4 linked regions of the Tamandua tetradactyla genome follow. The protein of the gene in region 1 interacts with the protein of each later gene in a biochemical or structural test. Links are inferred from orthologs where the notes say so. Each region holds a gene or a part of one and is shown in the gene's direction. Other genes may lie near its edges. The genes, in order: WWP2, SMAD7, PTEN and DVL2.

What was found.
Region 2: the proteins of WWP2 (region 1) and SMAD7 are reported together in a solved structure, tested with the Homo sapiens proteins (2 studies listed by BioGRID, with this or other methods). The link is inferred for Tamandua tetradactyla from reciprocal best matches to the Homo sapiens genes WWP2 and SMAD7.
Region 3: the proteins of WWP2 (region 1) and PTEN form a complex in vitro, tested with the Homo sapiens proteins (7 studies listed by BioGRID, with this or other methods). The link is inferred for Tamandua tetradactyla from reciprocal best matches to the Homo sapiens genes WWP2 and PTEN.
Region 4: the proteins of WWP2 (region 1) and DVL2 form a complex in vitro, tested with the Homo sapiens proteins (2 studies listed by BioGRID, with this or other methods). The link is inferred for Tamandua tetradactyla from reciprocal best matches to the Homo sapiens genes WWP2 and DVL2.

The regions. Positions count from the first base shown.
Region 1 is NC_135342.1:63,871,581-63,878,857, forward strand, and holds the start of WWP2 (NEDD4-like E3 ubiquitin-protein ligase WWP2), read left to right. Parts: upstream 1-4,265; 5' UTR 4,266-4,376; intron 4,377-7,277. UniProt on the Homo sapiens protein: E3 ubiquitin-protein ligase which accepts ubiquitin from an E2 ubiquitin-conjugating enzyme in the form of a thioester and then directly transfers the ubiquitin to targeted substrates.
Region 2 is NC_135344.1:34,119,882-34,127,340, forward strand, and holds the start of SMAD7 (mothers against decapentaplegic homolog 7), read left to right. Parts: upstream 1-4,444; 5' UTR 4,445-4,593; coding exon 4,594-5,197; intron 5,198-6,531; coding exon 6,532-6,585; intron 6,586-7,459. UniProt on the Homo sapiens protein: Antagonist of signaling by TGF-beta (transforming growth factor) type 1 receptor superfamily members; has been shown to inhibit TGF-beta (Transforming growth factor) and activin signaling by associating with their receptors thus preventing SMAD2 access.
Region 3 is NC_135339.1:47,986,450-47,993,394, forward strand, and holds the start of PTEN (phosphatidylinositol 3,4,5-trisphosphate 3-phosphatase and dual-specificity protein phosphatase PTEN), read left to right. Parts: upstream 1-3,944; 5' UTR 3,945-4,080; intron 4,081-4,958; exon of another isoform or gene 4,959-5,091; coding exon of another isoform or gene 5,092-5,133; intron 5,134-5,134; coding exon of another isoform or gene 5,135-5,188; exon of another isoform or gene 5,189-5,331; intron 5,332-5,495; exon of another isoform or gene 5,496-5,983; 5' UTR 5,984-5,999; coding exon 6,000-6,078; intron 6,079-6,945. UniProt on the Homo sapiens protein: Dual-specificity protein phosphatase, dephosphorylating tyrosine-, serine- and threonine-phosphorylated proteins.
Region 4 is NC_135332.1:61,100,604-61,107,883, reverse strand, and holds the start of DVL2 (segment polarity protein dishevelled homolog DVL-2), read left to right. Parts: upstream 1-4,260; 5' UTR 4,261-4,484; coding exon 4,485-4,678; intron 4,679-6,952; coding exon 6,953-7,022; intron 7,023-7,280. Other genes in the region: PHF23 (PHD finger protein 23), read left to right, coding at 1,163-1,194, 1,364-1,456, 2,029-2,866, 2,973-3,187.

The DNA.
Region 1 (7,277 bases):
GGATATAATTAGTTGATAATTTTGGAGAGGCTGGTCCCTCTGAGTTTCAGGATTTATCAGGCCTAGAAGCCTTCTAGAAATTATAGGTTCCAGGAAAGCAAACTTAGTGCATCAAACTTTATTTATAGAGTCTCAAGCCCAAGGTTTTCTTAAGAGTTAGCAGGAGTGATGTTGATTGGGGTTAAGCAAACCATGGCAATTAGCACTATCAAACTGAAACTTGCATAAGAGTAGCCTCCAGAATAGCCTCTGGACTCCATTTGATCACTCTTAGTCACTGATGCCTTATTATTTTTTTTAAACCTTTTAAGCTGTATAGTATAACATATATACGAAGCAAAGAAAGAAAAAAGCAATAGTTTTCAAAGCACTCTTTAACAAGTAGTTACAGGGCAGATCCCTGAGTTTATCATGGGTTACCATACCATCATCTTAGATTTTTTCCTTCTAGCTGCCCCATAACATTGGAGGCTATAACGAATAAGTAATTTTTTATCACCACAATTGATTTTTTTCTTTTTTTGTGAAAAATAGCATTTATACAAAAAAGCAATAAATTTCAAAGCACAAAAATTTCTAGAGGGGCAGGCAATGGTGGCTCAGCAGGCAGAGTTCTCGCCTGCCATGCAGGAGACCTGGGTTCGATTTCCGGTGCCTGCACAGCAAAAAAGGAAAAGTTCCAAGAGGGATGAGAGAAGGAATATGGAACTATTAAACCTTACCATCAGGTAATCCCCTGACACCATGTCAAACTTTAGGGACACCCAAATCAATAGGCCATGACCCCAATCCTGAGGCTTACTCTTGTAAAGCTTATGTAGGTAGGGGAGAAGCTCAGACTACCTATAGGCATGCCTAAAAGTTACTTCTGGAGGACCTCTTTTGTTGCTCAGATGTGGCCTCAGTCTCTCTAAGCCCAACTCTGCAAGTGAAATCATTGCCCTCCGCCCTACATGGGACATGACATCCAGGGGTGAAAGTCTCCCTGGCGATGTGGAAGATGACTCCCAGGGATGAATCCGGATCTGGCACTGTGGGATCAACAATTCCATCCTGACCAAAAGGGGGAAAAGAAGTGTGATTAATAAAGTATCAGTGGCAGAGAGAGTTCAAATAGAGTTGAGAGGCTACTCTGGAAGTTGCTCTTATGCAAGCTTCAGTTAGACCTTGCTACCTATCATAACCTACCAATCCCCAACCAGGACCATTCCGGCCAATCTTAACACCTAGGGTTCTTATCTTATATATTGATATAAGATTCCACAAGGGTTCCAGGCACTAGAGTAACTTTCCAGAAACCTGCAACCTCCAGATGGGTCCTTGGTCCAGATAAATCCTGAAACCTAGAGGGCCCAGCCTCTCCAGAACATCAGATGGTTCCATCTCCCTACCCCATATTTGTGACAAACCCTTCCAATATGAAAAATTTAGGATGGTCATAGCCCAAACACTCCTAAAGAGAGGGACGGAAAGATCAAAGGTGATGGTGGAGTCATACAGTGAAGATAGGATTTAACAAATGAATATGAATGTTGAATCATTAAACTGGTATCTCTTTTAGTCTCCACTATCTTAGAGCAGCTAGAAGTAAAAACCTAAAATTGTGGAATTGTAACCCGTGTGAAACTCTGAAATATGTTCTACAACTAATTGTGGTGCTGTGCTGTGAAATTTTTTCATCCCTTTTAACTTTTTTTACTGTATAGTAGAGCATACATAACAAAGCAAAGAAATAAAAAAGCAATAGTTTTCAAAGCACTCTTCAACAAATAGTTATAGGACAGATCCCAGAATTTGCTCTAAGATACTGCTCTAAGATACTGGCAACTAAAAGAAATATCAATAAAATGATTCAGAAATCATACTCATTTGTGAAATCCTACCATTTCGGTATAACTCCACCATCACCTTTGATCTTCCTACTCTTTAGGTGTATTTGGGCTATGCCCATGCTAACTTTTTCATTTTGGAAGGGGCTATCAGTAATATGGGCTATGGGGATGTAACTAGTTGATGTTCTGGAGAGGCTGGCCCCTCTGCATTTCAGGACTTGTGTGGTCTAGGAACCCAACTGGAGGTTGTAGTTTTCTGGCAAGTTACCCTAGTGTATAGAACATTTTGTAGAATCTTATATATTGCCCTAGGTTTTAGGACTGGCTGGAGTGGTCTTGGTTGGGGTTTGGCAACCTATAATTTGGAGCAATGTCTAACTGAAGTTTGCATAAGAGTGACCTTCAGAGTAGCCTCTTGACTCTATTTGAGCTCTCACAGCCACTGATAACCTTATCTGTTACACTTCTTTCCCCACTTTTGGTCAGGACAACATTGTTGATCCCATGGTGCCAGGGCCAGGCTCATCCCCAGAAGTCATCTCCCACATGGCCAGGGAGACTTTCACCCTGGATGTCATGTCCCACGTAGTGGGGAGGGCAATGATTTCCCTAGCAGAGTTGGGCTTAGAAAAAGAGAGCCCATCATTTTAAAACTTCTACTTTGAAATAATTAAAGATACACAAGAAGTTGCAAAGAAATGTATAGGGAAGTCCTACCACTCTCCCCCAATATCAACACTGCAGACAATCACAGTACAACTTTAAAATCAAGCAACCAAAATCAGTACAATCCATAGGGCTTATCTGGATTTCACCAATTTTTGTGCTCACTTGGTATGTGTGTGTGTGTCCACGTAACTTTCACACATGTGAGCTTTATTTAACTACCACCACAATCAAGACACCCATTCCCTGCATCTCAGATTCCTGGCTACCACTAACATGTTCTTCATTTTTTAAATAATTATTTCATAATTCTTCCCTAAAGGAGTCATATAGCTCATGATTTTATGAATCAGGAATCAGACAGAGCTTGGCTGGGTGATTCTCCTTTTCCATGGCATTGATGCAGATCACTGGGTGATAAATCAAGTGCCAGATGGGCTGTGCTGAAGAGTCTAGGAGGCTTCGACTGCACATCTGGCAGTGACAGCTAGAAGGCTGGGCTCATGTGGGACAGTTAGCTAGGGAGCCTGCACATGGCCTCTTCAGAATCGTGGCCTCGTGGAAGGAGTACTACTTCTTACCTGGTAGCTCAGGGCTTCAAGAGTGTTTCAGCTGACAAGATGGTATTTCATGTTTTAACCTCAGAAGTGATGCAGCATTACTTTCTCCATACTGTATTGGATGAAGCAATCCCAAGTCCACCCAGATTCAAGGGGAGGGGGCATCAATTCCAACTGTTGATGGGAGGGGTGTCCAAGAAATTGCAGCCATGATTCAATACCACCATAAAAAAAAGAAATAGATATCTGAAAAACAAACACAATAGTTATAAAGGCGATAAACCATATAAACTATGCTGCAGCAAGTAGAACCAAAAACTACAAAAATTTAGATTAGCATTAGAAATACCACCCCAAAAATAAGGAAGGCTACCAATAAGATGATGCTAGAAAGTTACCCTAGTGCATGGAACCTTTGCAGAATCTTATAAAATGCCCTAGGCATTCTTCAGGATTGGCTGGAATGGTTTTGGTTGGGGTTTGGCAAGTTATAGTAGGTAGCAATATCTAACCGAAGCTTGCGTAACAGTGTCCTCCAGAGTAGCCTCCCCAGTTTATTTGAGCTCTCCCAGCCACTGGTACCTTATTTGTTACACTTCTTTTCTCCCTTTTGTTTAGGATGGTATTGTTGATGTCACTGTGCCAGGGCTGGATTCATCTCTGGGAGTCATCTCCCACCCTGCGAGGAAGACTTGCACCCCCCAAGCAGGGTTTTTTAAGAAGCTTTTCTATTTTAGTTCAATATCACAAGAACATATGTTCCACAAAGGCAGGGATTTTTGTTTCTAGAGCCTAGAACAGTGCCTAGCACACAATAGGTGCAGGATCATCAGATTTACTGAGTAAAATACAAGTTGCACAATTAAATTTCAATTTCAGATAAACAATGAATACTTTTCTTTTCTTTTTTTTAGTATTTTATCCGGCAACCTTACTATGGAGGTCAATAAATATTTGTTGACTTCATCTATTGAATTAACTCCTCTCACCTGTAAAATGGGGTTAAATGATAGTACCCGCCCCCAAAGATTTGATGGGAGGAGAAAATGAAGCGCCTGGCCCTCAGTGACCCTCAATTTATGATTGCTCAGGGAGCATCTTGGAGGTGAAAAAAAATCCCTCCACTTTAAAAACACAAAAATAAAATGCGCTACCCAGGCCAAAGGCTCCTGGCCAGGCCCGGCTGCCCACACCTGCAAACCCGGCCAGCCTCTTCCGGGTCAGGTGACCGCCCGTGGTCACGTGACCCGGCTCGAGTGCGGTCGGTGGAAGGCGGAAGTGGGAGAGGAGTTGGGCGCCGCTTCTGTGGCCGCTGCAGGTAGCGAGCGCGGGCGCAGGGCTGCCCGGAAGGCGGCCGGGCTTGGCGGGTCGGGCCCCGGTCAGCGGCGGCAAGTGCTGGGCCTGGGGCGGCGCGGCCCGGGCTCCGGGGGGCGGCGGCTTCCTGTGGGAGGGGCCTGGCGTGGCGGTTCCGGCCTCCGAGGAGGGGTGTCCCGGCTCCCGCCGGTGCGGGGTGGGCGCGCCGGGGGCCGCGTGCGGGGGCTGCACGGGGGTGGTCTCTAAAGGCAGCCAGGGGTTCGGCAGGCAGTGAATCTTCCCGGATGCCAGGGGCTGGAGAGGTGTGACATTTGTGGAGGGATCGGGAGAGGAGGAAGGGGGGACTTGGGACTGAACTGGAAGGAGGTGCCTGTGAATGGGCATTTGGCTTGGAGGGAAAGAGGGAGAGATGGAAGCAGATGCTGCCTGAACCTCATCTGAGAGTCTCTTCCTTCCGTTCTCTTTTGCAAGGATTGTCACCAGAGACTTTGATTTCTGTCCCTTTAAGTTTTTAAAACTTCAGGAGGGATCACGGAATCTTGATCATCTTGCTTTCGTCACACCCCCTTAGTCCTGCTTGGATCGGGTTTCTTCTTCTCGGGAACCTAGCCCTTCAGATCACCTTTCTTTGAGATTTTCCCAGATCAGGTCATCTTTAAGACTTAAAAAAAAATGTGGGTACTTATCTCTCGTTGTAAAATGACAGTCGAAACTGTTGACCGCGACTTAGTCCAGCATTTACCCCCGCAACTGCTGAAATCTTGGACAGAGCAGTGTCTACCTACACATTTTGTGACTTTGCTTCTTTCTTTGGTTTAAATTATTCAGCTTCCCTTACCATGTGACTACTTTTCTTGACAAACTGTAACTAGTTGGGGTGGCTGAGAGGTCTGTGTTGTGTTCCTTAGAACCGTGACCTATGAATCATGGTTTTGAGATTAGATACCTGTATTAAAGCTTCTCGAGCTCCTCTTTCTATTCATGTTTACTAAAATTTGCAAAAGTGAAATAAGTTTCAAGAATACAGCATAACTGGAGTAAATGTTTAAACTGGACATTCACAGGACCCAGAGTTGTCGTAGATTACAAGTAGGACAAAAAAAGTAACTTTGCTAATGTATTATGAGTTCAGGTTGTAGAGTATTTGACAAACATTGAAAAATTAATTTTCGTAGTCACCTTGTGAGTTAGGTTGGGAAGATATTAGTCCCATTTCACATTTCACAAGATCTGAGAGGGACAAATCGATTTTTAACAATTTTTGTTTTCTTGTTACTGGTCCCTTTTCCCCCACTAGACTGCAAATCCCTCAAGGACAGGGTTTATATATTTGGCTTCCAGCCTAGTGCCTGGCACATTGTGGGCACTTGGTAAATAGGTGATGAATGAATGAGTTTCTAAAGGTCACCTTGCTGAAAGTGGCAGACAGAGGATTTTAACTTAAGTCTTCTATCTTAGCTCTTGCGAGACATGCTTGTCTTTTTATGTGTTGTTGGTCCATTTGGAAATAAAACCCTAAACATGGGTGAAAGGCTAGGGTTGGCTTCTCAGTCTCTTCCACTTAATGACTCCTTCCCTATCTACAAAGAACTTTGTGCAAATATCCCATTTAATTTCTACCATAAGCCTGTGAAGTTTGATGCTGAGCTAGTAAATGACACAGTAGGGAGGCAAGTGCAGGCTTTTTATCCCTAGACCTGTTCTTTTTCATTTATGGAGATGATTTTAAGTTTTATTTTTAAATATTAAAAAAATGGCATTCTAAGAAAAAATATTAATAGTATAATCACAGTAAAAATCAGTACTGTAGACTATATAGAAAATCCTTTGTCATAACTACCTCTTCTTCCTGGGAAAACATTCTGTTATTCAATGGATATAGGTCCTTGCATTATTGTAGAGTTGCACTGTCTAGTACAGTGGCCACCAGCTATTGAACCCTTGAGATAAATGCACATTCTATTTCGAAGATTTAGTATGAAAAACCAAGAATATATCATTGATATTTTTATATTAGTGATACAAATATATACTATTAATTACCATTAATCATTTATGGAAATCATTTATATAAAATTTATGGAAATGATTTATATAAAAATATTTTATATTTATGATACAAATATATACTATTAATGGTAATATTTTGAATCTACTGGGTAAATAAATTTATTAAAATTGTTTATTATAATTTTTTAAAATAAATTACTCAACTGTTTATTTTTAAAAATGTTGCTCCTAGAAAATAAGAAGTTAACATATGTGGCCCCCAGATAGCACTGTTCTAAGTTGCGGGGAAATACAGTGGTACATAAGAAAGGCAACCATCCCTGCCCTTGCAGATCTGAAATGTTAATGGGGAAAGGAAAATGGATAAGATGCATATTATATTGTGATAAAGCAGACAAGAGGGATGCGAAGTGTTCAGTGGGGTTGCAGTTTTAAATAGGGTGCTTAGAAAAGCCTGCCTGAGAAGGTGACAGTTGAGTAGAAGATCTAAAGGTAAGAGAGGGAACCACATGGCTGAATGGGGGCATAATGGTCCAGGCAGAGAGAGGTCCAGGTGGGAAGTTGGAAAACCCTAAAGAAGGAACACCCCTAGCATGCCTGTAGACCAGTGTGGCTAGAGGGAGTGTGCGAAGGGTAGAGTGGTAGGAGCTGAGGTCAGATTGCTGTTGGGGGAAAGAGGAGAGATGGGCAGGTGGTGTAGGGTCTTGTAGACCATCAGAAGGATGTTTTTCACTCAGAGTGAGTTGGGGTTGTTGGAGGGTTTTCAGCTGTGGAATGACCAATCCAGCCTATCTTTTAACCTACTCACTCTGGTTGCTGTGCAGAGAAAGCACAAAGGGCATCGAGGGTAGAGGCAGAAGGTGAGTCTATTGTCATTATCCAGATGAAAGATGGA
Region 2 (7,459 bases), on another chromosome or scaffold:
TTGTCATATTCGGCTGCAAGTTATTTTGGTCTCTGTGACTTGTGGCTGTACCATGATTAGGGTTTGATTACTATCACCAAAGTGACTAAAAGATGAAAATAGAAGCCACAACAGGAAATAAACAATTGCAAATGAGATATTTTATTCCATATTCCCTGCCAGCAAATGATTAGAATCAAACTCATTCACAATAGTTGAGTGAACTCTTAAACTTATTTTTTTTAAAACAGGATCAGAATAGTCTGAAATGGTGTGCTTGCTTGTCGTGCACATTTGTGCCTGTGGAAGGGAAAGAAAGGAACTCTCTGTCTAGGCACCCCAGCCAGCCAGAGGATTCTCTACTGCCCAGCTTCTTTCTGGGAAAGGAAAGGAATAAGAATAGGATGGGGTGGGGCCGGCTGCAGGAAAGCTTGAGATGTTAACTGATTCAGGCAATGCCTGGGAGCTATAAAACAGCACCGACCATTGCAGCTACTTGTCTGGAATCCCACCGATCTTCTACCTAGGGTAGTTAAGTAGAGGAAGAAAGCTATGTAGAGAGGGCAAGATAGGGGTGACGCCTGAATTAAAATACCCACAATTACACTATATGGGAACATAGCTCTGCAAGTTTATGCATGTTCCACGCAGACAAGCTGTGACGTCAGATTCAACTACAGAAACACCTACTACCGGCCCTGTGTGCACTTGGGCCACTACTCATCAGGGCCTTAGCACCACTGACCAGGTTTCCAAAAGATTCTGAAGAGTCTCTGTTTAGTCAAGACACTTAATTACAATGTACGACAGTTGCTCTCTCTGTTTATTTAAGTTCTTCCTGTCATTTTCCCACCCAGTCTAGCCCCTCTCAAAAAGCAAATATCTTCCAGGAAGGTCCAGAGGTGAGAGAGGGGATGGGACCCCAAGAGGACAGGAAACTTGCCCAGAAAGTTCTCCAACCCCAGCCAGCTGCCCTCCTCCCAGGAGATTCATTAGTAGTGCACGTTGCTTTACTTGCAGGAATCAGGTTTTCTGACTTCTGCTCTAGTCTCTTTCTAAGCCTTTCTCAGGTAAGTAGGTTAGACATTTCCCAGACAACTCAAAAATCCCATTTCTGTCTCTTCTGGTTTTAGGTGTGTATGTTGATGGGATCACCCCATGCAAAACTCCTCCTTCTCCATTTCCTCCAGGACTTTCTTGGCTGCTGTCTTTTAGAGGATGCTTTTTTAGAAAGTTTTACACACCACCCAGTTTTCAATGACCTTTTCGATAAGTAACTTTTTTTTAAGCAGAAGTATGATTTTATACAATTGCACCCTAGGAAGCCTTATAAAATAAATGTGTAGAGTGACAGCTTCTGCCACTTCCTATAGGTTTCCACACTGCTTGGCATCTGCTGTCTTCTAGGTTAGTAAGCTTCAGGCCCTCCTTGCCTGAGATGACCTTGTAACCAATGTTGCTGATCCCCTCTCACTTACGTTTCCAAAGGTGTGTTTTTGGGGAGAGGAGAAAGTGGCCCAAATGCCCCTAAAAGTCCTACCCAAGTCCTACCTAAGCGTGATTCTTAAATATTTTTTAAGCATCTATTCCACATCAGACACCTTTAAAGGTGCTGGAGGGGACTCCGGGAGCCTGCAATTATAAAGTTGTCTAAAATTAAGCTGAACCTTTTAAGAATTTATAATCTAGGTAGAGAGATGAAAATAGTACGTTTCACCTTTTCTAAAAATCACCGTTTGAGTTTCTTTGTTGTCCAGATCTCACAATTTGAAATGATGTTAAAAAAAATATGTCGTTGAATAAAATGCATGAGGTTAAATCGCCATGGCTACTGGAGGCCTTGCTGCGACTGATGTGTAGATATCTAAATCACTACGTTTCTTAGTATCATCACTCTGTGAATACATTCTGGGCTTTCACCCTAGCAATTCCTTACCCACTTCTGCGCAGAAACCTGTCTGCTAGGTGTATGCTTCTCCCAAGCCTGGGTCAGGGGATAAACTCTGACCCGAAGCATCTTGAGCACCTTGAAAGGTACAAGGCCCAGGGGGGCGCTGCAAAAGCCCGCATGCATACGCCATGCCCCAGGCAGGTCCGCTCCGAGGGTAACCTTCCCGCGCCAGGAGGTGGGGTAGCCAGGCTGCAGCATTCCCGGCCCTGGGCGAAACCTGCTGGCGGGGGGCGGGCGAGCTCCCGCTCTCTCCCTTCTCCCGCCACGACGCTGCCCCTCGCAGCTCGTCAGCCGGCCAAATGCATTCCAGAGCTGTGCACAAGACACATTTCTCCAGGCAGTCCCAGAAACCGGAGCCCGGAGCGGGAGAGGGTGGGAGGGAGCGCGCGGCCGCCGCTGAGGTCACACTCGCGCCGCCTCCCCGCCCTTGGCGGCCCGGCTGTTCCCTCCAGCACACACTTCCCAGGGCCTCGGTCCAGTTCGGTGTAAATGTCTTTTAAACGGAGGCAGCGCTCTCCTCCCCCTTCTCTCCGGCGCGGCCAAAGGGATCCACCGCCAGGGCCTTTAAAACAAAACGAATGAATGAAGGGCGAAGCTCGGCGGGCTGGGTCCACATCGAGCCACCCACCGGCTTGTTCCGCTCCAAAACTCGCCGGCGAAGCCAGCTCGGTGCTCCCGTTTTTTCGCGTTTCTCCTCCGCTCGTGCCAAATCGCAGTCGATTCTGGGAGCCTCTGCTCCCCACATTTCTCCCTCCCCCATTAGTCCCCGTTCGCAGACCAGAGAGGGGGTGGCGGTGGCGGGGGGTGGGGGGGTGAAATAGCTTTTAGAAACCCGATCTGTTGTTTGCGAAACACAATCGCTTTTTTTTTTTTAAAGCGACAGGGTGTCTAGACGGCCACGTGACGAGGCCGGAGCCGGGCGCGCCACTGCGCAGTGGAACCAGCCGAGCACAGGGCCGGGGGGGGGGGGGGGGGGGCGGGAGGCGGCGGCGGCTGGGGGCGGGGGAGGGAAGAGGGAGGGAAGGGGGCGGGGGCGGGAGGCCTAGCGGGAGGCGGCGAGCCCCGGGCACACTAGCTCTCTTCGCTCGACGCACGGAGGAGCCTGTCCCCGAGCCGCGCCAGCCGAGCCAGCCGGGCGCCGTGCTCCGTCTGCTTGCCGCGCGGGAGAGAGCTGCCCGAGACGGAGCCAGCCCGCCGGCGCCGAGCCCCTGAGCGTCCGACCTCGGAGATCCTGAGTGCGGCGCAGCGAGTCCCCAGCGGCGGCAGAAGGACCCGAGCGCCAGGAGAGGGCGGACGGGGGACAAGGAGGCTCCGGGGCGCGACGAGGAGAGCCTCGGAGGAGAAGGCGGCGAGAGGACCCCGGGGCCTCCTGCCGTCGCCGCCGGGTCGGGGCGAGCGGCCCATGCAGGGAGCCCCGGCTGGCAGCCGCTGCCAGAGGAGGGGGCGCCGGCGGCCCCCGCACTAGCGAGCAGCTTGCGCCCGGGAGGGCGAGAGCGCTCCGACCCGCCAGGAGCCCGCCGCCGCCGCGCCGCCCACCCCCGCGCTGTCAGCCCCGCGGGGCTCAGCGGCCGCCGCAGCATCTTCTGCCCCTGCGCCCCCGCCAGCCCCAAGGAAGTCCCCGCCGAGGACCCGGGCCCCGGGAGCGCAGAAGGAAAGACCAGAGACTTGCCTAAAATACCCAGATGCGGAGGATTGAAGCAACCAAGCCAAAGCTTTCTGTGGATTAAAAACATACATATATTTTCTTTCTGGGGGGAGCAGAAGAAAAGGAGAAGACCAGCGGGGCTCTGCAAGAAAAAAGGAGGGATGTAACTCGTGGATACGGTTTTCCACCCCTCAAACATCTTGTTCTACTTTGTAAATATTTTCTTTTTTTAAACCCCAGCTCCAGCCGGACGCCCCCAGACCTCCGGGGTGTGAGAAGGTTGTGTTTTCATTTTGGCTTTGCATATTTGGTTCTTAGGTTTTGAGAGAGCCTCCTTATTTCGCCAGACATCTCATGCGGGGTGAAGTCCACTCGGCCCCCTCCCCCGAGTCTTCGTGTGCACGGAATTCGAGGAGATCCGGTTACTAAGGATATAGAGGAAAAAAATAAATCGCGTGCCTGCTTTTTTTTTTTTTAATTGCCTGCTTCTCCCCACCCCCAAATTAAGTTGCTTAGCAAGGGGGAACGAGTCTTTTTCCTCTCTCCACCGGCACTGCCGAACGCCCTTCGTTTTTTGCCCCCGCGGGTCTTCCATGTAGGAAGCCGAGGCTGGCGAGCCCGACACTCGGGAGCCGCTGCGGGGGGGCGTCTTTTTGTGGCGGCGCGGAAGAGGGCAGGCTCGGCCGCCCCCAGGGGAGCGGCGGCCGCGTTTCTCCGGGGCGCGCCGGGGCCCGAGAGCCGCGCAGGGCCTGGGCCGCGCGGGGTGGGGCAGCCGGAGCGCAGGCCCCTGACCCCCGGCGGGCGCCCAGCGCACCCCGCGCGCGCCCCGGCCTCCGGGAGACTGGCGCATGCCACGGAGCGCCCCTCGGGCCGCCGCCGCTCCTGCCCGGGCCCCTGCTGCTGCTGCTGTCGCCTGCGCCTGCTGCCCCAACTCGGCGCCCGACTTCTTCATGGTGTGCGGAGGTCATGTTCGCTCCTTAGCCGGCAAACGACTTTTCTCCTCGCCTCCTCGCCCCGCATGTTCAGGACCAAACGATCTGCGCTCGTCCGGCGTCTCTGGAGGAGCCGTGCGCCCGGCGGCGAGGACGAGGAGGAGGGCGCGGGGGGAGGTGGAGGAGAGCCGCGGGGGGAAGGGGCGACGGACGGCCGGGCGCATGGGGCCGGCGGCAGCGCGGGCAGGGCTGGCTGCTGCCTGGGCAAGGCGGTCAGAGGTGCCAAAGGTCACCACCATCCCCACCCCCCAGCCTCGGGCGCCGGCGCGGCCGGGGGCGCCGAGGCGGATCTGAAGGCGCTCACGCACTCGGTGCTCAAGAAACTGAAGGAGCGGCAGCTGGAGCTGCTGCTCCAGGCGGTGGAGTCCCGCGGCGGTACCCGCACCGCGTGCCTCCTGCTGCCCGGCCGCCTGGACTGCAGGTTGGGTCCGGGGACACCCGCCGGCGCCCAGCCCGCGCAGTCGCCCTCGTCCTATTCGCTCCCCCTCCTGCTGTGCAAAGTGTTCAGGTGGCCGGATCTCAGGCATTCCTCGGAAGTCAAGAGGCTGTGTTGCTGTGAATCTTACGGGAAGATCAACCCCGAGCTGGTGTGCTGCAACCCCCATCACCTTAGCCGACTCTGCGAACTAGGTAAGAAGTTGTGCTGCCCCTACCCTCCTCACCTCCTCCGCGCCACCCACCATTGTCAACACTCCTGGGGGAAGTGTACATCCCTTCCTGGGAGGAGACTTGGGAAAAAAATGGAAAAGGGACGCGCGGGTGGAGGGGAGACTCGAGGGACATTCCCTGGGGGTTCCCTTCCAGTGTTTCTCGTCTGTTGCCCCCAAGGGGGCTGTGAGCACTGCTCTTGCACACACTGCACAGACATGCGGTTCAAAACTAGGCACCCTCATTTCCGGATCAGCCAGGGGATGCAGAGAAAAGGGAGGGGGCACGCCCCCGCCCCCCCCCCCCCGGAAAGGCGTTAGGATGTGTGGCCGAGTTGGATTTCGTCCAAGTCCTCCAAAGAAGGCTGGGAGAAGCAGGAGTTGTAAAGGATGGAAAAGCCTCCTGTCTTTTAGGAAATACGGACAGTCGCGGCAGGCACAAGTGGCTCAGATACGGCCCTGGTCGCACAGCTTTGGGGCTTTGGGGCGGGCCGAGAGGGTTAGGATGGGAGGCCGAACTTGATATCCACCTCAACTCGGCCAGCTCCAGAGTGAAAAGAAAAACGGTCCCGAGAAGTTACGTCTCCTCTACTTTTTCCTCCCAGCAGAGAAAAGCATAGAAGTGTGTGGAGAGCTGTGTGCCCCGGAGCCCCCCTGTCGTTGCTGCCCCTTAGCGCGCTGGGCCCTGAACTGGGCTTCGGGATTAAGACCCGTAGCCTGTCTCCTTTTATCTTCCCAGCCTCTTCCATCCCTTCCCTTTTCTCCAAGCCTGTGCTGGGGTGGGGGTGGGGTGAGGTGGGGTGCCCCGAGCCGGACTCTTGTAGACACCCCCGGCTCAAGTTCAACCAGGAAAGTTCGGGCCGGTAAAGGGGAACCCCGTGCCCTCCTCCGCAATCTCCCCCCTGGCGGGGGCCGAGCGGAGCGGCCGGGACCGGGATGAATCGCGCCCCTGGTGGGCAGGCCGGGGCGGGGAGCACTGAGATCGGAGTCTGGAGGCCGGGGGGTGGGGGGCTTGTCGCCCCCCGCCCGGTGAACTGTGAATTGCGCGGCCCGGGTCGAGTCGGTGGTTTCCAGCTCGGCCCGCCGAACGCGGCGGCGGCCCCGGCAGACGTGGAGGAGCGGAGCGCCGAGGCTGGCGCCAGGCGGCCTCTTTTGTTTATCTGACAGCTAAATATCAAGGCAATCACCGCCTCGCGGCCCAGCCTCCAACCCCCACAGCTAAGACAAACAGTTGGGCTTAAAGAATGCCTCTGTTATCATAAGTTTCTATCTTTCTCATGGCTCGGCCTTTATTTTCTCTTACTTTTTTAATTCCAGAGTCTCCCCCTCCTCCTTACTCCAGATACCCGATGGATTTTCTCAAACCAACTGGTGAGTAGAGGATTTTTAAAATATTCTTACTGTCTTTAGTTAAGAAGGAAGCCTCTAGAACCCAGGTTTTATTCCTAGGCCAGCGATCTGGGAAAGTGCTGGGCTTCCTTCCCAGCCTGTCGGTTTTCTCTATTGGAAGTTTGGTGGGTTTTTCCGAGTTTTTGTTGTGGCTGGATTTTTAAATTTATGGAGATGTTTCCTAGTTATGTTTATGTTCTATTCTTTTCTCATGTATTTGCCCTGCGTGGCGGAAGTTGGCTCAGCTTTAACACATGGAAGCTTTGGTCCACACAGAAATGTCTTAGGAGCCAAATAGGATAGGTTGGTGGGAAAATTCAAAGTCTTTGCTTTGTGAGTGCCAGGAGAATCCGTGGGAAGATTGGGCAAATAGAAGCAGGAGAAGGCAGTTTAAAAAGGTGCGGTGAAGACTGATTTGGAGGGAGATTTTTAGAAGATTTTAAAGACTTTTCCCCATCTCCAGTCACCTAGGAGTCAGCCTTCTCCGGCCTGGGGTTCTCTCAGAATTCTTGGTAGGGACCATAAAAGTTTTTAGCATAGCTCTGCCTGCCTGTTGCTTTGTCACCGGATGGCACCCAGCCAGGGCAGAAGCCCATTGGAGGCTGGCACCAACCTGCCAACCTGCTTGCGGTTGTCTGCATTCAACTTATGGCTGGCAGCAGGAGGGCTCACCCTATGTAGGGAACAGTGGAGTGGGAGAGGGTCAGCAAAGCTGGGACTTAGAGCTCCAGTTTCCTGGAGCTCCTTCTGACCGTGGGACATTTATTTGCTGAAAGCATGGATTATAACTTTCTTCTTTCCTTGTGCCTGTATAGTGGTGTCTGAAAAATGTAAAGCTTGTGACGTTTTAATTTTG
Region 3 (6,945 bases), on another chromosome or scaffold:
CTTCTGCAATGAGTAATGCTTAATCTGATCACTGGAAGCCTTTTAAGGAGGATTCAGAAGAGACAGGCTCTTCCTGCTTTGGCTGATGAGCCTCTCCTGTGGAGTTTGTCCAGTCCCTCCATCAGAATCGTTGGCTTCACAGCCTGCCCTGCGGATTTTGGACTCTGCATCCCCGCGGTCACATGAAAAACTTTTATAAATTTTATATTTGCGAGTGTTCCCTGTTCATTCTGTTTCTCTAGAGAACCCTAATTAATACAGCTCCCTTCTTTATTCCCAGGACCTAGAATTATTCCTTCCATGATAATGGAGTCAGAATCATTTATGAAGGTAGAAAGGGATGAATGACTCCTCCTTCCTGCCCTTCAAAATATCCTTACGTCTTTATTCTCTAACATCATATGGTGCTTATAATTTTGTCATTGATAAATCCAAACAAGAGGAACGTTGTGGATTGTATATTATATATAGCTTTTATAATGCGACTGTGTGATTGTGAAAACCTTGTATTGCTGCTCCTTTTATCCAGTGTATAGACAGATGAGTTAAAAAATAAGAATTAAAAATAAATAATAAGGGAAATAAAGGATAAAATTTGGGTAGATTGAAATACTAGCGGTCAATGAGAGAGAGGGGCAACGGGCATGGGATTTATGAGTTTTGTCTTTTTTATTTTTTCCTTTTTATTTCTTCTTCTGGAGTGATGCAAATGTTCTAAAAATGATCATTGTGATGAATACACAACTATGTGATGATATTATGAGCCACTGATTGCATACCATGTATGGACTGTATATGTGTGAAGATGTCTCAATAAAAATATTAGAAAACAAAAAAATAACACGAACAGAGTGTGTCCCACAGAATGAAGAGCTGACTGGGTTTATTTTCTGTGTAATCACAGTGTGACCCCTGGAATATAGCATTTCTTATGTTCAGGAAAATTTTCTTTTAGGATATAGTTACTTACATATAACCCATGGCAGTATCTTCTGAGGAAATGTCTTGAATATGTAAAGGAATAGCAATATTTGTTATTAGGATAAATGAAATAAGGGAAAAGACTTCAGACCCTTGGAAAAATGGGCTATTTAAATTCAAACCTACAATTACTACATTTTTCTATTCTGTATTATTTAGAAAACTGGCTAAACGGATAAAAATAGAGAAGATTACTTAAAAATTAAAGCCATTGATTTAGATCTCTATTTGAAAGGTCAGTGTGTGGGAGATGCGAAAGGCACCGTAGCTATCAGAGTACAGACAAAAGACATTTTAGCAGCAGGACCTACAAAGAGCACATCAACTATTTATATCACACATCAAGCAGCTTGTCATTTCCATTTATCAAAGAAAAGAAAGGAATTTTCCTTGGACTTTCTTAGGGTGTATTAACAGCACAGTTTTGGAATCAGCTCTGAGGAACTATAATTAAAGCTGGTTTATCATGTTCACTAATTATTCTGTATAGTTAGTCTCCCTGAAGCTTTATATAACTCTCCCTTTGTTACAAGCTTCTGTTTCTCCCTAGGGTGTTCTGAATCCAGACAGGTAAGGAATTGAAGTGCTTAGAAACCAGTGTATTGTATTATCTGTACAGCTAAGCAGATAATTGTAATTTAAATAAGAAAAAAACCCACAATTTATTTTTTAACTCTCCTCACCTTAGATTAGGGCCAGTTATTTAGAGGTTTCAGATCTACCATCTGGGTAAGGAGATCCTTTGAGTAGAAGGAAAAAGTGAAAATGGATATATCAGTATTTCCTTCAGAAAAATACTTAACACTGGGACAGGGAGGAGGTTTTATTCAGCCACTCCTAGTAACCACTTGATGCACTGTTAGGCTGGCCAAACATCTGCCACATTGGGTGATTCTTTCCTTCACCACTAGAGAGGAGTAGAGGGACTTGATGTTCAGAGAAGGAGCAAATATCCTATTTTCTGCCTTTGGTCTGAGAGAAATCCTTGCAGGCTAGTCTCAGGTTCTAGCATTTTAATGCTACAGATGCATCCCCTCTTGCTCCAGAATAGTTCTGTGCTATGAGAATTGAAATGTATCCTCTCTTCATGCCTGACACCAAGAGGGACAGGAATGAGCCCATTTTCTCCCAAGGAAGCAGATTTGAGAGTTTCTCAGCTGTTGGGACACCAATGTTCATACAGGGCAGGCTCCAGGGGAGGGGTGGAGCAGTGTAATGCAAATAACAAATATTCTGGGGACAAGATGAGCGACCTGAAAACAAACATAGCACATCTTACCCCTCCCCATTCTACTTCCCTTCATTTAGCTTCATCTTCATCTTCGCTTTCCCCCAAGAAGTAGTTGATACTCAATTGGGGATAGCTCAGCTTCTTCTTAGGCAATCTAGGGGAACACCTTGAAACCTGGGACTCCTTCTCTTTGGTTATTTGTAAAATAAAGAAATTTCTAGCTCACACGAGGCTGTATGGACAGGATTTTCATCTTTGGAAACCAAAAGCAGGGCTTTCTCCTATTCGTCCCCACACTGCTCTCCAATTCCTTTTATATTCATGATCTCCACCCCCTCCAAGCTGGCCAGAAACACGCACAAAACCAGAGTCCAATATATTGACATTAGAGCTTTGGCAGGTTGCTAATTCCTAGGGTGCTGTTTTAAAAAAAGATGTTGTATACAAATGCTAAGTTTTATGGAGCTTCAGAGGTCGCTGAGAATACTGTAAATATTCCCCGTTTAATGAGTAGTCCTGGAGTTAGGTAATGGCCTGTGGCTTCTAAGCTGGATCTCTTGGGGCTTCTAGTCTTCAGAGGCTGCCTGTAACCATGATGAGCACATACACAATCCTTTCTCACACAGTGCATAAATCCTCTCTAGACCTTCCTAGGCACCTATTTAAAATTATTGCAATGCACAGGCATACTGATTCCCATTCTCCTGAATTTTGAAAAACGACCCAGTGCCCCAGCCTGGTTCCACTACATTTGGAATTCTCAAGTCAGATCCTTCCGGACTCAGATTGTTGCCTTGAGTTCCACTTCCCAGTGGAAAGAACAAAAAGGTAGGCATCCCTACATTGGTATTGATTAATGCCCATGCAGAAGGTGGACCATTTGCTTTGTAGCTGATAAGAAGGGGTGGGTCCGGGGGTTGGAAATGCTCTGCAGTTCTGAGCTCTCTCTCACAGGGATAGATCGGGACTGTAAACAGACTTGACAGGTTTGTTCAGGGCAGACGGCCATCCTCTAGGTTTTCAGACGAGCTCTGTCACTTGGCTGAGTCTACAGTAGGTGGGGCGCGCTCACCAGCTCCAAGGTAGTGACTAGAAATTTGTTGCAACATCGCGGACCCTGCAGCGAGATGCTGCAAGAGATACCCCTTTGGCAGGCGTGCACACAGCCTGGCCGGTTCGCCCTCAGGAAGAGAGCACCGGTAGGGCGGATGCTCCAGACCCCCAGGGCTCAGCCCTTTCTCTTCACGGATGTGAACGCACAGCGTGAGCAGTCCACAGCAAGGAACCTCAGGTCTCGGTTGGGCCGGTGGCAGGGGAGGGGTGGGACCAACTGGGAAACTCTCGCCCGAGGATCTACAGAATTCGGTGGCTATAACTAGCCTGGAGAGGCGGGGGCACGTGCTTGCATCTGCGTACTTGTGTAACCAGCTCCTCAGCGCCAGCGCCGATAGCGCTCCAGCACGAGGTTCCCCCGAGAATGTCTTCCCGGCGTCGCCTCGGAGGGTCTGGGGTCTCGCACCCCAGCGGAAGGCAGCAGACCACTTGCCTCAAGAGCTATCGTAGGGGAATGAGAATTTGGAAAGTTCCCCAACTAGGAGCACACGTGACCTCCTCCTGAAAGTAGTTCCGTCTGTGGCCCTTGTATCCATCCACCCCCTCCTTTGAACTCTCCTAAGTCTTTTCGGCCCCGCCCACTCACGGGTTGCTGCTTCCTACCGTCCGGTACTTCCTACCCCGGCCACACAGCCCCGGCCTCGAGCGGGTGCAGCTTCGCTGCGGGTTCGCAGATCCAGGATCATCCACCCCGCCGGGTTTTTGCTATGATCATAAAGGGGCGGGGCGAGATAGACTCAAAGGCCAGAGCTCGGGTACGTCGCGTTGAACCAACCTGTAACCCCGAGGGGAGGCTGGCTTGGCTCTGCTGGGGCCAGTGAAGGGCCCGCGGGGTGCATCCTACCCACGGGTATTCGCTTTCAGCCCATCTGGACCGTTGTTCTTTGCTACCTGGAAATTCAGGGGCTGATCTGTTTATACTTATGGCGCTCACCTAGGAGCTTGCGTTTTTAGGGCAAATAAGCCGAGTTGCAGAAGCCGCGGTGGGGGAAGTCAAAGCGAGACGGATAGGGAGAAACACACTGAAGACACAATAGCTGTTTGTTATTTGTGCTAAGACTGACACCTTGAGAGACACGGGGGTGGGGGAGAGAGGGAGAGATGTAGGGGTGGGATTTCTAGGCAAAAACTGCTGCAGTCAAATCCCGGTAAACGACTGTGGCCTGATAGTGGGGCAAAAGGAGAGTGTGGAGGAAGGCAGTACCGGGGAAATATGGGGGCGGAGGCAGGGGGAGGGGTGTCTTCACTGCAAGGACAGTGCCTGCGTTTCCGTACACACTGACCAGCGCGGTCACCTGGCCCCTCCACCTGTGCACAGGTAACCTCAGACTCGAGGCTGGCACTGCTCAGCGCACCGGCCTCAGTATTCATCTCCTATCTTCCCCCGCAACGGCCTACCCTGCCTCCTGCTTGGTTTCTCCGTAGAGGCCGAGCCTTTGCCCGTTTCCCCCGCCCAGCGTTGCTGCAGAAGGAGCGGCGGCACGAGCAGTTACAGGCGGGAGCCTCCGAACAAGCCCGAGCGGGTCCCCAGCAGTCACACTGGGCATGCTCAGTAGCGCCTGCAGGCTCCTGGCTCTGCGTTTGCACTAGGAGCCGCTGCTCGGCCCCCATTACTGCTTCTGCCCTGCCCTGCCCAGCCCTGCCCTCCCCTCCTTTCCCTTCCCCTCCCCCGGCGCGACCTCGTCTTCCTCCCGCCACCCCCCGGGCTCCCCAGGCGCTCGGGCTCTGCGCGGCGGCGGAGGGGGCGGGTAGGCCGGCAGGCGGTGATGTGGCGGGACTCTTTGTGCACTGCGGCAGGATATGCGTTGGGGCGTCGGGACGCGGCTGCGCTCAGTTCTCTCCTCTCGGAAGCTGCAGCCATGATGGAAGTTTGAGAGTTGAGCCGCTGTGAGGCGAGGCCGGGCTCAGGCGAGGGAAATGATAGACGGCGGCGGCCGCGGCCCAGAGCCCCTCTCAGCGCCCGTGAGCAGCCGCGGGGGCAGCGCCCTCGGGGAGCCGGCCGGCCGGCGGCGGCGGCAGCGGCAACGCTTCTCGCCTCCTCTTCTTTTCTAACCGTGCAGCCTCTTCCTTGGTTTCTTCTGAAAGGGAAGGTGGAAGCCGTGGGCTCGGGAGGGAGCCGGCTGAGGCGCGGCGGCGGCACCTCCCGCTCCTGGAGCGGGGGGGAGAAGCGGCGGCGGCGGCGGCGGCGGCCGCGGCGGCTGCAACTCCGGGGAGGGGGTCGGAGTCGCCTGTCACCATTTCCAGGGCTGGGAACGTCGGAGAGTTGGTCTCTCCCCTTCTACTGCCTCCAACACGGCGGCGGCGGCGGCGGCACATCCAGGGACCCGGGCCGGTTTTAAATCTCCCCTCCGCCGCCGCCGCACCCCCCCTGGCCCGGACTCCGGAGGCCGCCGGAGGAGGCAGCCGTTCCGAGGATTATTCGTCTTCTCCCCATTCCGCTGCCGCCGCTGCCAGGCCTCTGTCTGCTGAGGAGAAGCAGGCCCTGTCGCTGCAACCATCCAGCAGCCGCCGCAGCAGCCATTACCCGGCTGCGGTCCAGAGTCAAGCGGCAGCAGAGCGAGGGGCATCAGCTACCGCCAAGTCCAGAGCCATTTCCATCCTGCAGAAGAAGCCCCGCCACCAGCAGCTTCTGCCATCTCTCTCTTCCTTTTTCTTCAGCCACAGGCTCCCAGACATGACAGCCATCATCAAAGAGATCGTTAGCAGAAACAAAAGGAGATATCAAGAGGATGGATTCGACTTAGACTTGACCTGTATCCATTTCTGCGGCTGCTACTCTTTGCGTTTCTGCCACTCGTATGGTGGGAGTAGACGGATGTGAATAATTTCCATAGATTGGGGGCTATCACATTTAACCCTGGTTTCTAGATCATGTATTTTGTGTCTCTTGAGTGTACTCAACGTAGGGTGTGTTCGGCTAGACGAAACTCTTGCCTGGTTGCAAGTGTCAAGGTGCAGATTGGTTTCTTAGTCGTTCTCTGTGGTCTTTTCCTAGGGGCTATTGTCCGTTAATGCAGGATACAGTACTCTCAGTGGATTAGAGAGCTCGGTAATCCGGTTTATTAAATGAACAAAAATGTAGAGGCTTTGAGGTTGAGCATATTTCGATTAAATCTTGGCTTAGGCGCTTCATCAAGGGTATAGATCAGATTAAAATGAAAATTAGTGTTGCACGTACGCATATTGCATCAGAATCTGCAGTGATTGTGTTTAGTTTCCTGGGTTGCATTGATAGATTCTTATAAAATGTGTGTTGTGGACTGATTTGCATAACTTTAGAAGCAGAATCATTTTTTGCATATACGGTGCGTTTTGAAGGCAAAGGTAGGTTTGTATGTTTAAACTGAGTTCATTACAGCTTTGAACTGCAGTTAGAAGTTTAGTAGTTTGAAATCAATAGTGCCATACTATGCCTTATAAGGCACTCTTATTAGATCTTTGTTAAATTTGCCGTTTTCTCTCCGGAAAGGGTGATGTAGGATAGGGCTTGAAATTTACAGTGCGATAGCATTTTATGTTCAGTCCCACATCATATGTAATAGAATGAAGATTGAGTGGTTTTAGATCCCAAATTCCATGTAGGTCCAAGGCTATCGTGTACATAGCAGTTGGTGATTGTA
Region 4 (7,280 bases), on another chromosome or scaffold:
GGGAGTTTGTGGTGGTGGTGCCGGTGCTCCCGGTAGTTGCCGCCGGAGATAGCCTGGTGATTGCTGGAGGAGTGGGCAGGTAGTTGTGGGGGGTAAGAGGGGTCTGGGTATTGTCTGCTGAAGAGGGACCTGTACCGATGGGTAGTTGGAGAGAGAGGGCCGGGAAGCAAGGAGAGCTGGGTAGTTGCAGGGGGCGGTGGGGCGGGGTGGGGGTGGGGGCTTAAGACCGGCGATTCGCCGGAGGAGGGGGGGTTGGTTGGCGAGGGTTAGCGCCTGGGAGTTGCGGCGGGCGAAGGGGGCGGCGGCAGCAGCGGCGGGGGTTGCTGTGAAGGGAGAGAGTCGCTGGTTGGGGGAGGGGGGCCTAGAGTTTAGGGGTCCGTAGCCTAGTGACTTGGTGGTGAGTACGGGGGCGGAGGGGGGACGGCCTGTGAGAGCTCGGAACTGGGCCCAGGGGCCCGGCGGGGAACCCAAGGAGCTCGAGACGGGGAGGGGCCAAAGCCCCGGATGGGGGCGGAGGGACGGCGAAATTGTGGGGAGCGCGGCGTGGGGGGGCAGGTGGGGCAGCGTCCGGGTTAAAGCCCTCTGGTCGGTCCCGGACGTGATGTGTGTGTCTGTGTGTTTGGGGTGGGGGTGAGGGGCACGCCAGGCCTCGTGCTCGAGTTGAAGGGGCCGGAGGGCGGGGAGAGGTTCGGCGTGGTCATATCGGATCCTGGGGGCCGGCGGGCGGCGTGTGCGATCCCGGAGGCCTGGAGCGGTAGCGCTTGGTGGGGCAGGAACGCGGGACACTGGGCACGTTGTGAAGGACAGGGGCGGGCGGCGAACTGACTCGGCCCGGGGTGCTGTTTGGCGGGGTGGGGCGCTAAGAGATCCGAGTAGTCTAGAATCTAGGGAAACCGTGAGTTGTGGGGGAAGGCGGGGCACCGGGCCTTCGGTGGGGGGAAGGGGAGCGGTATAGCGAGGCCTGGGAGGGCGCCGCGCCCAAGCTCCGCCCCTCATGGGGTGGGAGGTGAACGGCGGCGGTTCCAGCACAGCTGGGGGCCTGCTGGCCTGGCAGATGACCTGGCAGAAGAGGGGGTTCTCTTGGGATCGCCAAAGTTTCAAGGTGGGGGGTTTGCATGGACTGTTTGCTAGTACCTTGACTCAGCTTTTATTGCTTCCACAGATCCACCTCCGACCCTTAAGCCAGAGACTCAGGTGAGGTTTCCCTTGCCTTTGCAACCCAATATTCCTTCTAGCTTCCCAGCTCTTCCCCCTATCCCCACAGCTTTCCCAGATTCCTCATTCCAGGAACTATGTTTTTGGGAATGCCCCTCTGAAACCCCAGCTTCTGGTCTCCATGTGATCCATGTTTCCTTCCTTTCAGCCACCAGAGAAACGCCGGAGAACAATTGAGGATTTCAACAAATTCTGCAGTTTTGTCTTGGCTTATGCGGGTTACATCCCCCCTAGCAAAGAGGTAGGGACAGGAGAACACTTGGCTTGAAGCTGGTAGCCCAGAAGGGCTTTTGAGCAAATGGAATTGTATTAGTTTACAGGCGAGTTTAACAAATTATATGTAAGACTAGGAAAATTGGAAACTAGGTTTGTAGTGAGAAAATTAGTATCTGGGAGAATATTGGAAATAGGTGGCTTGGGTAGCAATGGAAGAGGCTGAACTTGGTTCTTGGGTCTTTAGTCAAGATTTTTGAATGGTATTTGGGATGCTGTGAATGGAAGGTCCTTCTGGATACATTTTAGGGAGCTGAAAATGGTAACAAATGAGGCTAAACAGATACAGCTAAAGAAACATGGGTCTGGGTAACAGTGTTCCAATTGCCCCAGCAGGGGAGATGGCTAGAATTTGAAGGCAGAAGTAACATGAAGTGCTCAACAAGAGATGAGGATGGGGTAGAAATAAGTTTCCAGAATAGAGTGAGATTTGGTGGATGGCTACAATATTTTGGCATAGATACAGTCTAGTTTTCAGGTTAGGTTTGTAGAGGGATGACATTGGGTCCCCTGCTGACCCTGGTCTCTTCCTCTTTTAAGGAAAGTGACTGGCCAGCCTCTGGCTCCAGCTCTCCATTGCGAGGTGAGAGTGCAGCAGACAGTGATGGCTGGGACTCGGCCCCTTCAGATCTCCGTACCATCCAGACCTTTGTTAAGAAAGCAAAATCATCCAAGAGAAGGGCGGCTCAAGCAGGTCCCACCCAGCCAGGACCTCCAAGGGCCACTTTCTCTCGCCTGCAGGGCCCTGACAGTGCCACCCTACTTGAGAAGATGAAGCTCAAGGACTCTCTCTTTGATCTGGATGGGCCCAAAGTGGCATCTCCACTCTCTCCCACATCCCTAACACATGTCTCCCGGCCCCCTACTGCCCTCACCCCAGTGTCCCTTTCCCAGGGAGACCTTTCCCAACCTCCTCGAAAGAAGGACCGAAAGAACAGAAAGTTGGGGCCAGGAGGGGGGTCTGGCTTTGGGGTGCTTCGGAGGCCTCGGTCAGCCCCTGGAGATGGGGAAAAGAGGTCTCGAATCAAGAAGAGCAAGAAACGGAAGTTGAAAAAGGCAGAGCGGGGGGATAGACTACCACCTCCTGGGCCTCCCCGAGCACCCCCTAGTGATACAGACTCTGAAGAGGAGGAGGAAGAAGAAGAAGAGGAGGAGGAAGAGGAGATGGCAGCAGTAGTAGGGGGTGAAGTCCCAGCCCCTGTACTCCCAACACCCCCGGAGGCTCCCAGACCCCCTGCCACAGGGCCTCCTGAAGGAGCCCCTCCCACTGACAGTGAAAGCAAGGAGGTGGGTAGCACTGAAACAAGCCAAGATGGAGATGCCAGTTCCAGTGAAGGGGAGATGCGGGTCATGGATGAGGACATCATGGTAGAATCAGGTGAGGGGGTTGGGGGCTGCCCAGGGGCAGGTGGGAGGAGGGGCTTGGGGAAGTCGTGGCCCCCAAGAGCTCAAGCAGGACACCAAGCAAACCTTCTTTTCCCTAGGTGATGACTCGTGGGATCTCATCACGTGTTACTGCAGAAAACCCTTTGCAGGGCGGCCCATGATTGAGTGCAGCCTGTGTGGGACATGGATCCATCTCTCCTGTGCTAAGATTAAGAAGACCAATGTCCCTGACTTCTTTTACTGCCAGAAATGCAAGGAACTGCGGCCAGAGGCCCGGCGGTTAGGGGGACCCCCCAAATCTGGAGAGCCTTGACATCACCAAGTCCAGGCTGGGACTTCCAGTTGACAACTTGACTTGGGAACTGAGCCTCAGGGTCCTCAACCCATCCCCTGGAGCTTGGACATTGTCCTACTTCAAGGCAGGAATTCCCAAGGGAGGCTTGTTTGGAAATGAGTATCTCATGGTCCTACCCTATCTTCCTCCCCACCCTCTGGACTTGAATTTGGATCCATAGCAGTTGGGGTTGGAGGTTGTCTGGGTCCCTAGACACAAAATCCCTGCCTCTTGGGCCTGCCTCACTTTCTGGGCCAGGGTTGAAATTGGGATGGGATGAGGCAGTTGTCTGTAAACTCTAGTGTAAATAGAGCACCGCCCCTTCCTCATCTTTTCTTCTTCCTATCTCCCTGTTTATTTTCTTCAACATCGGTTGTATTTTTAATTTTGGGCTTCCCCTTTTGGGCATGGCCGCTCAAAGGTGGAGTACCAGAGCCTGACTGAGGGAGGAAGAAAAGCAGAAAGGTGACATTTCTCTCATTCACCTCTTTTGTTTTTAATAATATTGGCCAGCTGTACAGACAGCCTACATGTTGTAAATAAAGCGAAATGGGCTCTTTTGTGTTTATAGCTCTCACTGATTGTCCTGTTTGGGAGGGAGGCTATGGAAAAGTGGGAAGAAAAGTCCAGGCTGGAAATGCCCCTGCAGTGGGTCTTTACCATCGGATAACTGCACAACCCCAGGGTAGGACTTGGGTCCGCATTGCCCCACCTCATCTCCAGTCTAAGACCCCCCACAAGCACACTTCAATGGATCAGAGTTGTCTTGAGCTTCCCGCCCTGATGAGGTAGAGCGGGGTGGGAGTAGGCCACCTGTTTCAGAGGGCAGAAGCCAGATTCAGCCCGGGTGCTGTGGAAGACACGGGTGGGGACACATTTTCGGGTGGGGCTGTTGAGGGTTGGGAGACCGTTGCTGAAGGCAGCGCTCATGTGGCGGGGGCGCTAGGAGGAATCAAGGAGGTCACGTGATCGGGACAAGTCACGTGACGGAGGGACAGCGGGGAGCGCGAGGCAGGCCGGGTGTGGGTCACGTGACACAGGGAGAGGTGGGCGGGGCAGCGGTGTCTGCTCGCGGCGTCGGCGGCGAAGTCTGCGGCTCTGGGTAGTGCCCCACGCCCGGCCCGCCCCCGCCACCCGCTATCTTCTCTCCCGCACTTCTCGGACGCTGCCGGCCTTGTCCGCTGTCGCGTTTTGGTGTGCGGGTGTGCGCAGGCGCGGCGTGGGCGAGCAGCCCGGGTGGGTGGGCGGCGGAGCCCGGGAGCGCGCGGACGAGACCATGGCGGGCAGCGGTGCGGGGGTTGGTGGTGTCGGAGAGACGAAGGTGATTTACCATTTGGATGAGGAAGAGACTCCCTACCTGGTGAAGATCCCTGTCCCCGCCGAGCGCATCACCCTGGGCGATTTCAAGAGCGTTCTGCAGCGGCCCGCGGGCGCTAAGTACTTTTTCAAGTCTATGGATCAAGATTTCGGGTGAGCGCGAGGCCTAGACTAGGACCGATGGGGGCTGGAGTGGATTGAGCAATATTGAGGGACACAGATCTGTTCTGAACCATACTGGGATTTTCTGGGCTTCGTGGAGCAGACTGTTCTAGGCTGGGTAGATTGACTCTCCCGGAACGGACAAGGTTATGCTTCGGCGAATGGAGGCACACGGAGCTAGCTGTAGAAGGGCAGACTGGGCTGTACTAAACCAGATTAGAGAAGATTAGGCTATACTGAACTAGAGCGGGGCACACGGGCTTATTTGGGGGGTAGACTGTCCTGAACTAGATGGATCTGTCCTTTGGTAGTTGAGTACCTTCTGAGCAGTCTTGTAGCACCCTGAGTATACAGGGATCTCTTGAGATAGATTGGGCTATCATGAGGCAATTTGGGACATTTCGGGCCTATAATGAGATAGTTTGGGGGGACAGTCTAGGTTCTACTAATGCAGACAGTGCGGTTTTGGGATGTTCCAGGCTGTCGTGGAGTAGATTAGGCTGTTCTGGAGAAACGTGGTCTATTCTGGTCTCTCCTGGGTTAGACAGACTTGTATGGTTGATCCTGGTTTGTTTTGGGGCCGCCGTGGTTTTATTAGAATACTTGATACTGGGGCAGCTGGGGCAGTTAGGGTCTATACTAGTACAGACGGCTGTATGGGGATATCTCAGTCTATACTGTTGTAGACAGCTGCAGGTGGGGGGTGTTCTAGGCTGTGTGAGATTACAGTGGGCTTTGCTGGAGTAATTTGGGACCTTCTGGACTATCCTGGGCTAACCCTAGGCTGTTTGTAATGCAGAGCAAGCCCTTATGTTTTTATATAGCCTTTGGGACAATCCCTCAGGGGCACTCAGTCTCAGTGCTTCTGGAGGCAGGCTAGATTAAGTTGGGATAGCCTGAGTTCTTGAAGAATTATGACTGTGTTCTACCTAGAAGGGCTGACTGACACTGGGAGAGCAGTGCTGTCTGGAGAGTTCCCTTGGAGTTAAATCAATGTTCTTTTATGTGTCAGCACTGTAATCTTGGGCAACATATTTAACTTTCTGGGACTTTGATGTGCATAACTGTGAAATGAAGATAATCTCTGAATAAAATGCTTAGTGGAAGTTCATGGCACACGTAAATTCTCAGTGATTAGTAATTATCATTATTTGTATCAAGGTTGACTAGTCCTAGACTAGGTTATAGTGATACAGAATAACTTGTCTTGGAGTCACTGGGCTGTCCTGAGACTGCGATTTGGGGACGGAAACTACATTACACTGAGATTAGTAGTAACTGGCTGTGTTGATACAGAACAGGTCATGCTGGTAGCAAATGGATTAAGTTGGCATATATCCAAGCTCTCAGAACCCATATTAGGCTAAAGGATTAATCAACAGGATGTCCCAATTTGGGTGTGAGAATGTGTGTATGAGAGGAAATAGAGAAACCAGAGTCTCATAGTTCATTTATTTATTCATTCAGTCAAATATTTGCTAACGCTTCCTAAGCGTTGGATACCAGCTTGTGTGGTCAGGGCCTGGTGTCCAACAGGAAGGGCATTCCTCATTTGATGTGGTGCTTGACAAGAAGGGCCAAGTCCAGTCTACCATAAGGAACCCAGTGGAGAGATGACCCGTAGGCCTGGGCTTCCCTTTTGAGCAGATTGCTTTCTGCAGAGTTCTGTGCCACGTGAGGCACATGGGAATGGGAGGATGGGCTCCTTTGCTGTGGGACCGCTCAGCCTAACGGCGAAGTGCTGTTCTTTGGACTAATGGCTATTTTCACCTAGCAAAGCAGCACGTTTGGATAGATCTCTGGAAGATTAGTTAAAGAAAAATAAAGGGGAGCATGATTAGAGAGATGAAGCCCAAAGCCTTTAGGGTAGGTGTGTGAGGAAGAGAAATGGGGGTGGGATGAGGTCACCAGCAAGGCTGGTAAGGTTGGATATGTTGGGCTCCTGGGGTGGCCATGGGAGGGTGGTTTTTTCAATTGGACTGAGAGATTTGAATCAGACTCAAGGAAATCTTTGCAGTAGCATTGAGCCCCCAAGGATGAGCTGGGGAGAGAAGTTAAAATAAGGAAAGGGAATTAATTGAGTTTAGAGCCTTCTCAGGGCAAGAGGGAGGTGTTGCAGAGTAAAAGAATACGACTTGGATAAGGAGAGAAAGTCAACATCCCTGAGCTGCTGGAAGGTTGGGAGGATGCAGAAACTTTGAAATGTGGATGGGAGCTGGGGGAAAATTGCCCAGCCTCATTGACCTTTATCTTATCTCTTTGCAGGGTGGTGAAGGAAGAAATTTCAGATGACAATGCCCGCCTTCCCTGCTTCAATGGAAGGGTGGTCTCCTGGGTAAGGGGCCCTGACTGTAAGGGCCCAGGCCCTTCCACATTGCCCAGCTCCCCCCAGCATCTGTAGCCCTCTGTTCGGTCGTGGAGGCCCTGACTTTCTGCTTTCCTGCCCATTTGGGGTCTGGATCCCCTCAGCCTTCTTCCTCTAGAGCCTCTACTGCTTGCTGCTGCTTTCTGGGCGCTTCTCTAGGCTCTCTCAGTCTCTCAGACTCTCTAAACCTCTCCCTTACTCGTAGCACTCATGCCCTGCCTCCCAATT